Caenorhabditis elegans: one gene and its partner. The protein of the gene in region 1 interacts with the protein of each later gene in a pairwise test. Each region holds a gene or a part of one and is shown in the gene's direction. Other genes may lie near its edges.

Region 1 (7,123 bases):
TCACAAATGATAGATTGATGACTATGTACTTCATAAAAACCAAAACTAACGAGCTTCTCATTACAAGACTCATATTGTGCCCTTGCCAGCACTTGATTCGCATTTCTAATTGATGAATCCATGAATCGACATCAAAATATTGATCATCCTGCAGAGCACATTGAGCATTATCGAGTTGAAATGTTAAACGAAGAGTTAAAAGAAGATAAGCAATGAGTTTTGCATCTGGAGACAGTAATACTCTGAAACCAAAAGGGTTACTTTTCGCGAAAATCGTTTTCAGGTTACTCACTCGTCACAAAAATCGGCATCCTGTGTGCCTCGTTCCTTTCTTCCGAAACTTGTTAGAAATCCCGAATAATAAACATTCGGAGACATTGCCGCTAGTTGTCCACAATTATATCCCATATCCACGTCGACTTGTTTCAGAAGCTGTGGGCTCACATCACATGGAATTATAGATTCCAGTATAAGCATTCGACTGAGAATGTCTGAAGGAAGATTCAGATTATCCACGAGACGAGCGGACATCTGGAAGGGAGTGAAAAAAGTGATTACATGTTTTCTTGTTGATATCTTTTTTCATGATTGATTTTTCGTTTTTGAAAATTCTAAAAAGGGTAAAATGAGTCGTACGTGCGAGGACCCACAGTCTTAATTTTGAGTAAACACATTATTTTTTCATGAAAAGTAACATTTTAACTTTGGGAATTCTTTGTCACGAACACTTTCAAAGCTTTGCGGAGCCATGCTGCTTGCCAATTTGAGTGATTGATGAAAGATCGTACAAGTTCGCATGATTTCGTAGAGCGGAAAACGCTGGAAAAAAGCATATTCACGCAGGACTAGATTCGAGAAAACGCACTAGAAATGGCTCGGCGTAATCGACAATCGTCGGCTTCACCACCTCTCCTTGTTTCATTCGTTCCGGCTGACTTTGACGGATCAGGCGGATAGATCGACGAGAAATTCGAAAACGGTCTTCTCGAATCCACCTGAAATTGTGAACGTTCTATAGAAGTTTCAGATGATATTTGTCACCTAACAACGTCAGATGTTAGAATAGTCTGATAGCCTGAAGACATCAACGCCGAATGGAGGATTGCGACAAGCATTTCTAAATTTAAAATCAGTTGACTCGCGCGACGTAATGCTTCTTTAGAAAGTGCCGTCGTCACTTTTCGGACAAATCCCATTGTAGTATCGTTCACACGGATTGATTCATCTGGATTCTGTGTGGTTTCTAACGTTAAGTCATCAAGTTGCTGCCCTCCTTGAGCATCTTGATCTCCGTCTTCATCAGAAGCTATGTCCAAGTGTTCAGTGATATTACCCTGGGTTAAAAGGGTCCATGCTGCTGCAGACTTGCTCAAAGCATTTACTCCTTTTCCACGCTTCGCCATTCTTTTTCGTTGCTTTTCTTCTCGCTCTTCTTGTTCGTATCGAAGATTTTCCATGACTGCTACAAATCGAAGATGCTCGTCATTGCCGCATTGTTCAGAATGGCAAAATGCTACTTGACAGTGCGCCAGGTATTTTTGAAAAGTGGCGAGAATATTTTCCTGAACCCGTGATTCGAAATTGAGCTCGTGGACCAGAATGTGTCCGGATTTCGCGAGAATTTGAGTGAAAGAGAACAGTCGGAGTGCCAGCCGGTATAAGTAGTCGGGTGTCGCGTCATGTGGTAGCTCGAGTCTGAAACATTTTTATATAAATGACTGTGAACTTCAAACTGCACTGCAAAGGTTAAATTACCCACTCTTCTCCTTTAATTGCCTGTTGTTGCAAGAAATCGCTTCGTTTTTCGAGAGCTTCCCGCATCACTTGTGCTTTTGGAAGATTTACTGGTGCTGCATTATTTCGAACTCGTTTTTGATCATCATTTTTTCGAACTTTCACTTTTCCTTGTCCAACGGTCTGTTGTAATCCTCCTTCTTCTTCCTCAAGCTCTTCAAAATTCTGAAATGCTTTTAAGATGAATCGAGATTTATTAAATTTGTTTTAATATACCTCAAATAAAGCGCCACATCTATCGCAATATTTGAATCCGTCATTAACGGAAAATCGGTAACCGCCACAGGCATTGCATTTTTCATTTTTTGCTGAGTGCATGTGTTTGATAATGAAAATAATGAAAATAAATATTCTTGCTGTTTTCCGAGAGGTGTGGAAGTACGCTCTGTCTGCAAGGGAGAGTAGAGAGCCTAGACGCAGACACGGGAGAACATTTTGAATTCCGACATAAAATTTGTCTCTCGCATATTTTTAAAACGCCATAGTTTTTTCTTAAAAAATGCTGCCATCGACTTCAAAATCTGTAGAAGTAAATGAAAATTCGGAAGAACCGATTGAACTGGAAGAGAATGTAATAGTAGTCACCGGCGACGAAATTCAAGCAGAAATCGCAGTTGTCGACGGAGAGGAAGTGATCTTTGCGGTAATCAATTTGTTCTTTTTTTGTTTGAAACATCAAGTCTTTTTCAGGATGATGACGAATATATAGAGTACGACCCGTTGAGTATAGCCAATGATCGGAATGCTGTGTATGACGTAAGATTCTATACGGAAACGAATCAGGCAAAAATTAAAAGAATTTCAGATATACCAACCACACGAGTCTGAAAATGGAACATTCATGTGTAAAATTTGCATGCGAACTGGAAAAAACACGGAATACGAGGACAGATCGACGTTTGTAGCTCATCGATACAAATGCCATGGAAGTTTTAATGTGAGTGGCGGCGGCGGCGGCGGATTTTTTGATTTAATCAATTAATAAAATTTGTGAAATTTCCAGAACAACGTAATGTGTCCCCTTGGAGACTGCCGGGAAGTTTTCGCTTCTTTGTACACCCTTCGACGCCATCTTAGCCAGCAGCATGAGCTTCCGATAGAAATTCACTTGCAATCTTTTGTGAATATCGGAGAGTTCGAGAAGTTTCGACATTTGGTCGAACTTGCATCGGGATGTAGATTCATGATGCACACAAAACAACCGAAATATCGCAGACAGGTTATGCACTGCTCGAAGAGTGAGCACAAATTGGTGTTACAAACACAGAAGTGAGTTTGGAAAAAATCGGCTGTGATAGAAAAAGATCACTGAACTACGTAGGAGGTGTGACAGTATTCAAGACTATCTAGGAATTCGAGGCCATTCAGGAGTTGCGCAAGTTTATTTAGGAGCTTCACTTTACGTAAGACGCAACCAAATCTACTCAGGACGTAAGAAACAGTACGCACGATTTTTCCCAGGGAATCAGAGAATTTCGCTGTTTTTTCTCTTTTCGAACAAAAAACTCCCGCGGAAAGTCACATTCCACAATTTTTGAAGTTTTTTGGAACTGGCCTAAAATGTAATTAAATCGAGGAATAAACATCTAATAAAGGACCAAATATCAATTAAGGAGTGATAATTGAATAAAAATTAAGTTCCAACCGCTGCGACTCTGATAAGTTGCCAAAATTTGAGACTTTAGCAAAAAATAGTATATTTTCCAAAACTTTAAGCGGCCGTAACTTAAAAAAAACATTTTCAGAGCGTCTCATTGCGAAATTTGATAATTTTGGACCATTTTGGCTCTAAAAAAGCAGTCTCAGATTTCGGTACTCCACCTTTAAATGAGTAACGAATTTTTTAGTTCTTGTTCTAGTTATAGGCCCAAAACGGAATTTCAGACAACTTTCGAGCCAGTTTCAAACTAAAACTATTTCGGTACTCCACCTATAATGTCTCTTCTTCCAGACACCGACTCCCACGTGAAAGAATGTTGAAAGAAGGATCAGCGTGCCCCTCAGTCATCTCATACCGTGTCGAATCCTCCAGCGGTGAAGTACATACGTTCATGCAGCTCTATCACATCGGTCATGCTCCTGACACAGAATCTCAGAATAGCAATGCAGATAATGCTAGACCAATGGATATAGTGTTCCCCATTAAACCAGCATGTTGGGCTAATCATCCAATGCAATATGTTCAAATCGATGTTCATGAGATGCCAACTTCAATTTATGGAAACAAAATATACGACAACATTCTCATCGTCACTTGTCTGAAAACACGATTTTTGTGGGCGAAACCACTTTTCGAGTGCACAAGAACAGCGATCGGACGAATTTTGAACTCGATTTTTAATGAATACGGTGTTCCGGAGGGATTTTCAACATCATTCTCGCCGACATACATCCGGGATACAATAAAATCATTGGAAAGTGTGTATGCTGTGGAAATTCGAGAAGTTTGGAATGAACCGCTTCCGTATAATTGTCTAGAACGATGGGTTCTGGAACTAGCTCAAAATGAGCTTGGAACACGAAACCGATGGGTAGAACAATTGCAATTTCTCGTAATGGAATATAATCAGAAACCGATTCCTGATCGAATGGAGACGCCATTCGAACGAATGTTCAATAGAAAAGCTCCTAATTTATATCATAATGGAGATAATCAAGAAATCATTCACGACAAGTATATTTCTTATCATTCAGAATTGAGAAATGAAGAGGAAGGTGTTGAGAATCGATTGAACACTAGTTTTGAACCTGGAAGAAAAGTCTTTGTAAGTAATTCGAAAATTTATATTTCGAAGAACGGAACATTTTGTAAATTAAAAATTCAGATTTCTCAACAAAAAAATCATAAAAAACCGAACATTTTCTGATCTTTCATATTTCGTCTTTGGCGAAGCAAAAAGCGAGAAATTAATACAAAAAAAGGAAAATCGGCACAATCTCTACAGTAGCTATTTAAAGAGGTACTGTAGTTTTCGCTGCGAGTTATTTTGCGCGTCAAATATGTTGCGTGATACGCATTCACAGAATTTCGAGTTCCCGTAATACATATAGCATATTTTATATCAAAATATGTTTTTTTTCTCCTAAAGAAACATATTTATTTCAGTTACGCAAAGGAATCACAAAACCAAGACGTGGAAACAACACACAATATTATTTCGGTTACATTGGAGAAGTCGATCCATCAAACCCATACTATCCGTTCAAAGTTCACTACACAAGCTCCGATTCTCCATGGCCATCAGAAAGTTTGTTAGATTTGATAATTACAAATTTTGTTTCTCAAATATTTTCAGGAAACATCTACGCATGGGTCAGCGTGTTCGATCTTCTTCCAACAATTCATGAAATCAGCGAAATGTCAATGACTTCCAAGAAAGTATCAATTGCTGGACTATTATGCTCATGTATGGGCATTGAATCATCACAAAAATATGATCTAACTGCTATGGGAGATATAGCTCGAGAATCGTCGAGATGCTTGTTATTCAGAAATTGTTTATGTACAAACCAAATGTCTCGATTTTGTTGTAAACTTGTTGGAAGAGAGCACTGCAGATTTCATTCGGTATATCCGGAAAACGACGAGTCTTACGCGAAAATGGACGCAGCGCTCTCATCGTTTATTGCGTATAACAAAGATTCCAGTAAGGAAGCTGAGAAGGATTTACAGGTGAGTGTTACGCATCATTTTGCAATTTGCAAAAATCAAAGAAACAGCCGAATTAAATTTAATTTCCCGCGCAAACGAGTGACGTCATTTTCTACATTTTCACGTTTTCTGGCTAAATTTAATGGTTTTTCTTGATTTGTCTTCTATATTTGATTTAAAACACCATCTGTCAATTTTTCAAACAAATTTCAAAAAAAAAATAAATATTTAATTGCCGCTTTTAGGTCAATTTCTATCGGGTTATCAAGTTTTCTTCACGGAAAAAAGTTTGAAAGTTGAAAACAGAGTTTCAATCAAATATAGAAGAAACAATCTGGGGAAACGGGCAATTTTAGCCAGAAAGCGCTGAAATGTAGAAAATGACTTAATTTATTAGAGCGGGAATTCAAATTCAAACATTGTTTTTTAAGTTTTACAGTTATATTCGTTTAATAGGGTCTATTTTCTGTCATTTGAGACGAAAAATGTTGTCTCTACTTCACCTTTAATACATATGTTCCATTGATAGTGTGTCTAGAGTCTCGGCTCAAAAACTATCCACTACTAAAAAACTTTGAAACTTTTTTTGGAATCTAAAAATATGTATTTTCTGCAGGATTCTACCCCAATAGAACAAATATTAAATGAAGTTGGACGACGGCGCCTTGAAAGTGAAATAACTGTCGAAGATCCAGAAGATCTGGCTCCACCAATTCTAGAGCCAATGGAACCAACAGAAAGACATTTGGATACAGAGGAGGAGGAAGAGGAACCAAATCAAATTCCAATGGCCTCCGAGCATATTGATATTGAGGGAGTCGACGAAGAGGAAATTATGGAACATTCGGTCAATGCAATTTCAGAGGAAATCCTCTTCGAGTATGCTGATGATAAACGAGATGATGGTCCTTCCACGCCGAAACGTGGCAGGAGAAGAAAGTCGCCATCAGAATCGGCGGGAAAAAAGAAGAAACTATCGAATAATGATGAATTCGTGGAATCTACAGTCTCTAGGCGATCATCAGCGAGAAGAACTATCAGACCAAAAAATCTAGATGACTATGTTGAATAACTTGAAATTACTTTAATTCCTTTTTTATTTAAAACTCATAAATACTTTGAATATAGACATTTAAATTCCAACAAAAGTGTGATAATCTACGTCCAAAAATGATGAGGGTTGATAACAAGTTTTTGATTTTTTGATGTATGCTCCGTGCTCTCTTCGAAGCGGTGTGTAGGGTTTTCCGGTTTGTCTCTCCTCAAATGATCATAAACTTTTCAATTTTATGACTGTTTGACTGAAACAGTCGGTTTTAAATTTGTATACGTATATTCCAATAAGAAATGACGTTAAATGGATGTGGTGTGCGCCAAGAGGTTGGTTTTTAACATTTTCTGGCAATGACTTCTGATTGAAATTCTGTATTACTCGAATGAGGACCTTTGAAATAGGTTCCAATAAAACATTTAGATGTAGTTGAATAGTGCATTTTTTATGCAATATTTAATGATTTTACGGGTGTCTAGTTCAATGCGGCAATCGGAAGCTTTTTTTAAAACATCCATTTAAAGTAAATCAAAATTTTGGACCGATTCTACAAGCTCCGAACGTGGTGAGAAAATGCACTGCAAAATTCAACAAGTTTTTTCCATCTCAAAGCTCTCTACACACTG
Region 2 (4,928 bases), 6.3 Mb from region 1:
TGCCTCGTCGTGGACCATTGTTAACTGGAAAAAACAATGAAAGCTTAACTTGGAAGAAACGAGACACTTACCTTTTTAATTTTACCATACGCTTCGAATTCTCGTCTCAACTTGCTTTCAGACGTTTCATAGTTCTGAAAATATAAACTAAAACACATTCTAACATTTAAAAAAACGTGCAATTCGTCCAACGAATAGAGTGCGATATGGATCCTCCGAAGCTCTTGGATTCTCAGCTGGATTCCACGTGGCGATTCCTTGTTCTACTTTATATGCTAACAATTCATCTTTTTGTCGTCTTTTTTCTTCTTTTGCTTCAGCTTTTGTTACTACTGGGATTTTTGCTGGAGTATCTTTCGGATCCTGAAAAAAAAATAGCTTCCAAAATAATAAAGTTACGTTCAAACCTCAAATAATTGAATATATTGAGCAACTCCAGTCATCGGAGCCCTTTTAGCATTTTTGTCCACTAGTAGGTCCTGGCATGGTGGAAGATATTGCACTGGTGGTCGTGCTTCGAAAAGCGCCAGAAGATTGGGAGGTAGAAATGCCGTCATGTCACCTGAAAATAATTTTTATTTATTATTTGAGTTTTGTAGGTACAAAGATTATCGAATAGAAGAGAGAAAATAGTATGGAATGGGAAGATGAAGAACAAAACAAAAGAAGAAAAAAAGTTGAAAAAATGTCTGAAAAAGAAAATAAAAAAGCGATCCTCGGTTTCAGATAGCTGTTCCACGTTCCAAATCGTCTTTGATATCTTCTGTGTACTTTCCATAGTACTTGTCCAGTTTCTTATTGAATTTCTTGTTTTTCTCATTGATGTAATCAATTGGCGCGTCAGGATCATAAAGTCTACGACGATGATATTGTTCTCGTCTTTTAACTTGGCCGTGAACATCTTTAGTGAGCTTATCCATTGCAGCAGTTGTCGGATAGTGATTTCCTGAAAACTCTTTGGTTTTTCTTTGAAATTATGAGTTTTGCTCCTTACCATGAATAAGTGTGTCAGCAGTTGGGTAAAACTGTTCCCCTCCAACGCATTCTCTCATCTTTTTGTAAGAATCAAGATCTGGATCAAGAGCAGCAGTCAGGCGAGTATGTTGACGAAGAGTCATATCTTCGTAAGAAGTAAATCCTTGATCTGGGTTCTTCTTTCTCTTTCTTTTTTGCTCAAGCTTCTCAGTAACATCTGCAGACATCTCTAAACTGCGAACACGTTCATAGTCCAATCCCTTGTCTTCTGCAGCTTTTCGATCTTGTAGCTCTTTAACCTGCCATTGATCTCTTTCCTTTTTTGCTTCGTGGTTTTTTGGAAGTTTGCTGCGACGATCTTCTTCAACGACCTACAATTTTAAATTATAATTGAAAATGTAAACGTTAAAACACTAACCTGTTCGTGATTCTCTTTTCTCGCTCTTTGGCGGAGTTTGTGAAGATCACGGAACCTCTGATTGAAATCCTTCATTTTTGATCCACTGGACGACGGCCCACTGCTGCTCGATTGTGATTCGGAAGACATCTAGGAAAAAGTGTTGAAGAGAAATCCAGAAAGTTGAGAAGAAAAGCTACATTGAAACGGAATACAGAATATTTTGAACATCAGAAAAAGAAGAACCGATATGATTTGAATTCATTTACAATCTATATTTTTTAAACCGATAGTTACATGTTCAAAACATATTAATACTATCCAGCTTTGCGAAACAAAGAAGGCTTTCTTAGAAATAAGCATGGTACTATCGATAAGGAGTTCAAAAATGGAAATAAAAACTTTATTTTCTAGTTGAAAATGCTGAGAATCGAGTCAAAATTGCGAAAATTAATCTGGGCGAGTAGTTCAACACAGCGCACTTGCACAATTTTCTTTTCTCTCCGCTGCGTAGCGGTCGCGTCGCGGTCGTCTAGTCTTGCGCTCGTCACACCGAACGCGTCAATATGTGACGTTTCGGGCCTTTTCTGCTCACTCTGGCGGTAATTTAAACATATTAAAAATATATTTTAATTCAAAAATATTTATAATAGACCATTTAAAAGTACTCAACATTATTCCAATTGTTCGTTCTTGTTGTTTTGGGCACTTTGAGTTTTTTCTTAAAATTTTAATTTAAATTTCAGCTGATGATGTTAATGAACAGTACTGAGATAGTTGACGACAACATGGTAGTCGAAGGATATGAGGAAATTGCAGTGGATGACGATATGAATGATATGAGAGTGAGTGTGCTTGAATCATTAATTTTCTTTATTCAAATTTAAGGAAATGGTTGCAAATGATGAAGATGACAGTATTCACTATGAAGCCCATGATGGAAGCGAATATGGTGGAATGCCAATTGACCAATATCAAGATATTGTTATGTTCAAAACGTAAAAAAAATTTTTCCTGAGTAATATAAATTTAAAGCATTATTCCAGAACGGACCAAGTTCCTGCAAGTGTCTCCTCTCGTCTTGATCGTAGTGCGCCGAGTCATTGGAGAGCTCGTTGTAAATGTTTTTCAATGGCGGACGATAGGGAAACTCTTTTGTATTACAATCCCGAGAAGTCTGCGAATACTATTCCAAAAGTAGTAGTGAAGAAAGGAGAAGTTCAAAAAGTCCTTGAGAGAATTCACGAACTTATTGGTCATCTTGGGCAGAAAAGAACGTAAGTAAAACTACTATAATAATAGCTGACAATTGTTACTTATAGGCAGATGGTCGTGCTTCGGAAACTCTACTGGCGGTCGGTTCGACAAGATGTTAAAACATTTATTGCCTCTTGTGATTTTTGTACAGCAAAGAAAATACAAGGCAGAAAAATAACAAAAGCACCTGTGGATATTACCTCTGAGCATTTTGATATTTCCGTGCTTGTTAGAGATTCTTCCAGCGGAAATGATCGATTTGAGTTTCAATTGGTGGGATACAATGAGGATGAAGTTCGCGAAGCATCATTTACAAGGATGACATCATATACATTCAAAGAAACTGAGCATGCATTCAGAAGCAGATACAGTAACCATCAGCAGACTGGGGTACGTTAAGAATCTGAGATTCTCTACAACTCTAAGCAAAAATCGTTTTAAATTTACTTTAATTATTGCCAAATTCACAATATTTGCATTTTCAAATTTTTAAAAAATATTTTGCAGCCGCCAACGTTCCGTCGACAACCATATGTGAAGAAACACAAAAATCAATCAGTTGGATATCTTCTTCCATTTCACCAAAGATCTCGTGCCACAGAACCCGAGTTTATCGAAGTTTTTGGGCGCGACATGTTCACTCATCATCCTGATATGATGTATGAAACAGTTCCAGAAATGGACGATGGAATGATGAGATCAAGAGAAGAAGTTAAAAGAAAAGATGAAGAACTGCCCAATGCACATCCAGTAACTGTTGGCGGAGCAGTACTGAACTCGAATAATTTCAAAACGGAAGATGAGGTAAGAAATGAATGAGTCAAGTGTTCTTATTGAATTCCGATCAAAACAAATTATTTTCAGGGAAATCTTGCTGTCTCTTCTCGTTCTCAAGAATCGACGTCTTCAGCATCACCACAAAAAATGAACCATGAACAGCAAAGATATAGTCAAAAACGTCATTTGGAGATGAGAACTGGAAGAACGACGAGAGATATGAGAGATTATGAGTCATCTGGACGACAATTATCACCAACTCCAACGACTACAGCTGGACTTTTGAAAAAGAGAAGGCGAGAGTTGCCAAGTATTCGAGGAATGGCAAATCGTTTCAGTCTGGCAATCGGCGACTCGGATAGAATAGGTAGGTTTTTAAATTTCAGTCTTATTTTGAATGTTGGAAATTTTTAGATAACACCGAAGTAAATCGCTCAAATCCACATCTGATCGAGTACCCTGATCCTTCGTCTATTCTTCGTGGTGATAATGCAGGATTGCCTCCCGTTATTATGGCGCCATCCACCAATGATGAAGTATGCAAACTGCAGATCGAGGTATTTCGCATGAAAACCAAAATTGAAATTATAATAAGACACGTTTCAGGCACTCCAACGTCATATTCATCTACAAAAAATGCAAGAAAAACTACTCCATGAACAGTATGAAGCTTCCATGCGAATTCCAATCACCCGATACATCGAACAAGAAGAGGAAGTTCAGGAAGAACAACTCGAAGTTGAGCATCATCATGTCATGGAAAATCATCACCAAGTGTACGAGGAAGTAGAGGAAGAAGTGGTTCCGCAAAATCCCCGTCGGCACATTCGTCACCAGTAGAAGCTTACATGTTTCTTTATTGTTTGACAATATCTTAATAACTAAACTCACATACGATCTTTTTCCTTAATTATATCTGAAATTTTGTGACAGTTTTGTAATGAATCCTAAAAAGATTAAAACATGAAGTCATCCTTATCACAGAAGTTCAACTCAAAAAAGGATGTTATCTTTCTAAAAGTTTTAAAGGAATTTATTTCATTCATTACTGCTGTGAACAGGATCGTCTCGTTGATATTAGCATTACGTGAACTTTTCCTCAACACATCAATATGAAATCGATGCGTAAAAAATTGAACTTAATGTTTTTTTGAATTATTCCTAACTCGTATCGAGCTAGTCTACACTATTCTCTAACAAAAACTTCTGTTTGGACTTGGCTTTGCTTTATTTTCGTTAAGGATACTCAATTTCGACAACACGAGAGATACAACGGTACTAGTTTGAAAACTTGAAGATTTGTTTCACTTACTGGCAAGGCAAGCTATTATGTATACAAAAGGGTTAGTCTGATTGTTTAAAAAGGTTTTTCTATCAAAGAAAGTGAAAAGAAAAGATTTGAAACAAAAATTCGATAAAACAGATCGAATTATATTGGAGTTACGGTTCACAAACCGTACCCCTGTGCATTTTATCGTGAACGTGTTTACGGACCACTTTTGCCGCCAATAATTTTCAGACA

Evidence for each region.
Region 2: the proteins of ztf-18 (region 1) and K04G7.1 interact in a two-hybrid assay, tested with the Caenorhabditis elegans proteins (one large-scale study listed by BioGRID).

The regions. Positions count from the first base shown.
Region 1 is NC_003281.10:890,775-897,897, reverse strand, and holds ztf-18 (C2H2-type domain-containing protein), read left to right. Parts: upstream 1-2,239; 5' UTR 2,240-2,293; coding exon 2,294-2,437; intron 2,438-2,484; coding exon 2,485-2,550; intron 2,551-2,599; coding exon 2,600-2,731; intron 2,732-2,797; coding exon 2,798-3,063; intron 3,064-3,745; coding exon 3,746-4,559; intron 4,560-4,900; coding exon 4,901-5,042; intron 5,043-5,090; coding exon 5,091-5,467; intron 5,468-6,062; coding exon 6,063-6,518; 3' UTR 6,519-6,572; downstream 6,573-7,123. Other genes in the region: F23H11.2 (TATA box-binding protein-associated factor RNA polymerase I subunit B), read right to left, coding at 51-242, 293-531, 727-819, 866-995, 1,042-1,695, 1,760-1,959, 2,011-2,112; T24C4.10 (uncharacterized protein), read left to right, coding at 6,794-6,826.
Region 2 is NC_003281.10:7,160,594-7,165,521, forward strand, and holds K04G7.1 (Integrase zinc-binding domain-containing protein), read left to right. Parts: upstream 1-2,118; 5' UTR 2,119-2,160; coding exon 2,161-2,217; intron 2,218-2,260; coding exon 2,261-2,370; intron 2,371-2,418; coding exon 2,419-2,649; intron 2,650-2,694; coding exon 2,695-3,019; intron 3,020-3,136; coding exon 3,137-3,433; intron 3,434-3,493; coding exon 3,494-3,773; intron 3,774-3,820; coding exon 3,821-3,963; intron 3,964-4,012; coding exon 4,013-4,246; 3' UTR 4,247-4,367; downstream 4,368-4,928. Other genes in the region: rnp-7 (U1 small nuclear ribonucleoprotein 70 kDa), read right to left, coding at 1-24, 72-134, 181-363, 408-557; Pre-mRNA-splicing factor syf-2, read right to left, coding at 723-946, 995-1,346, 1,394-1,522.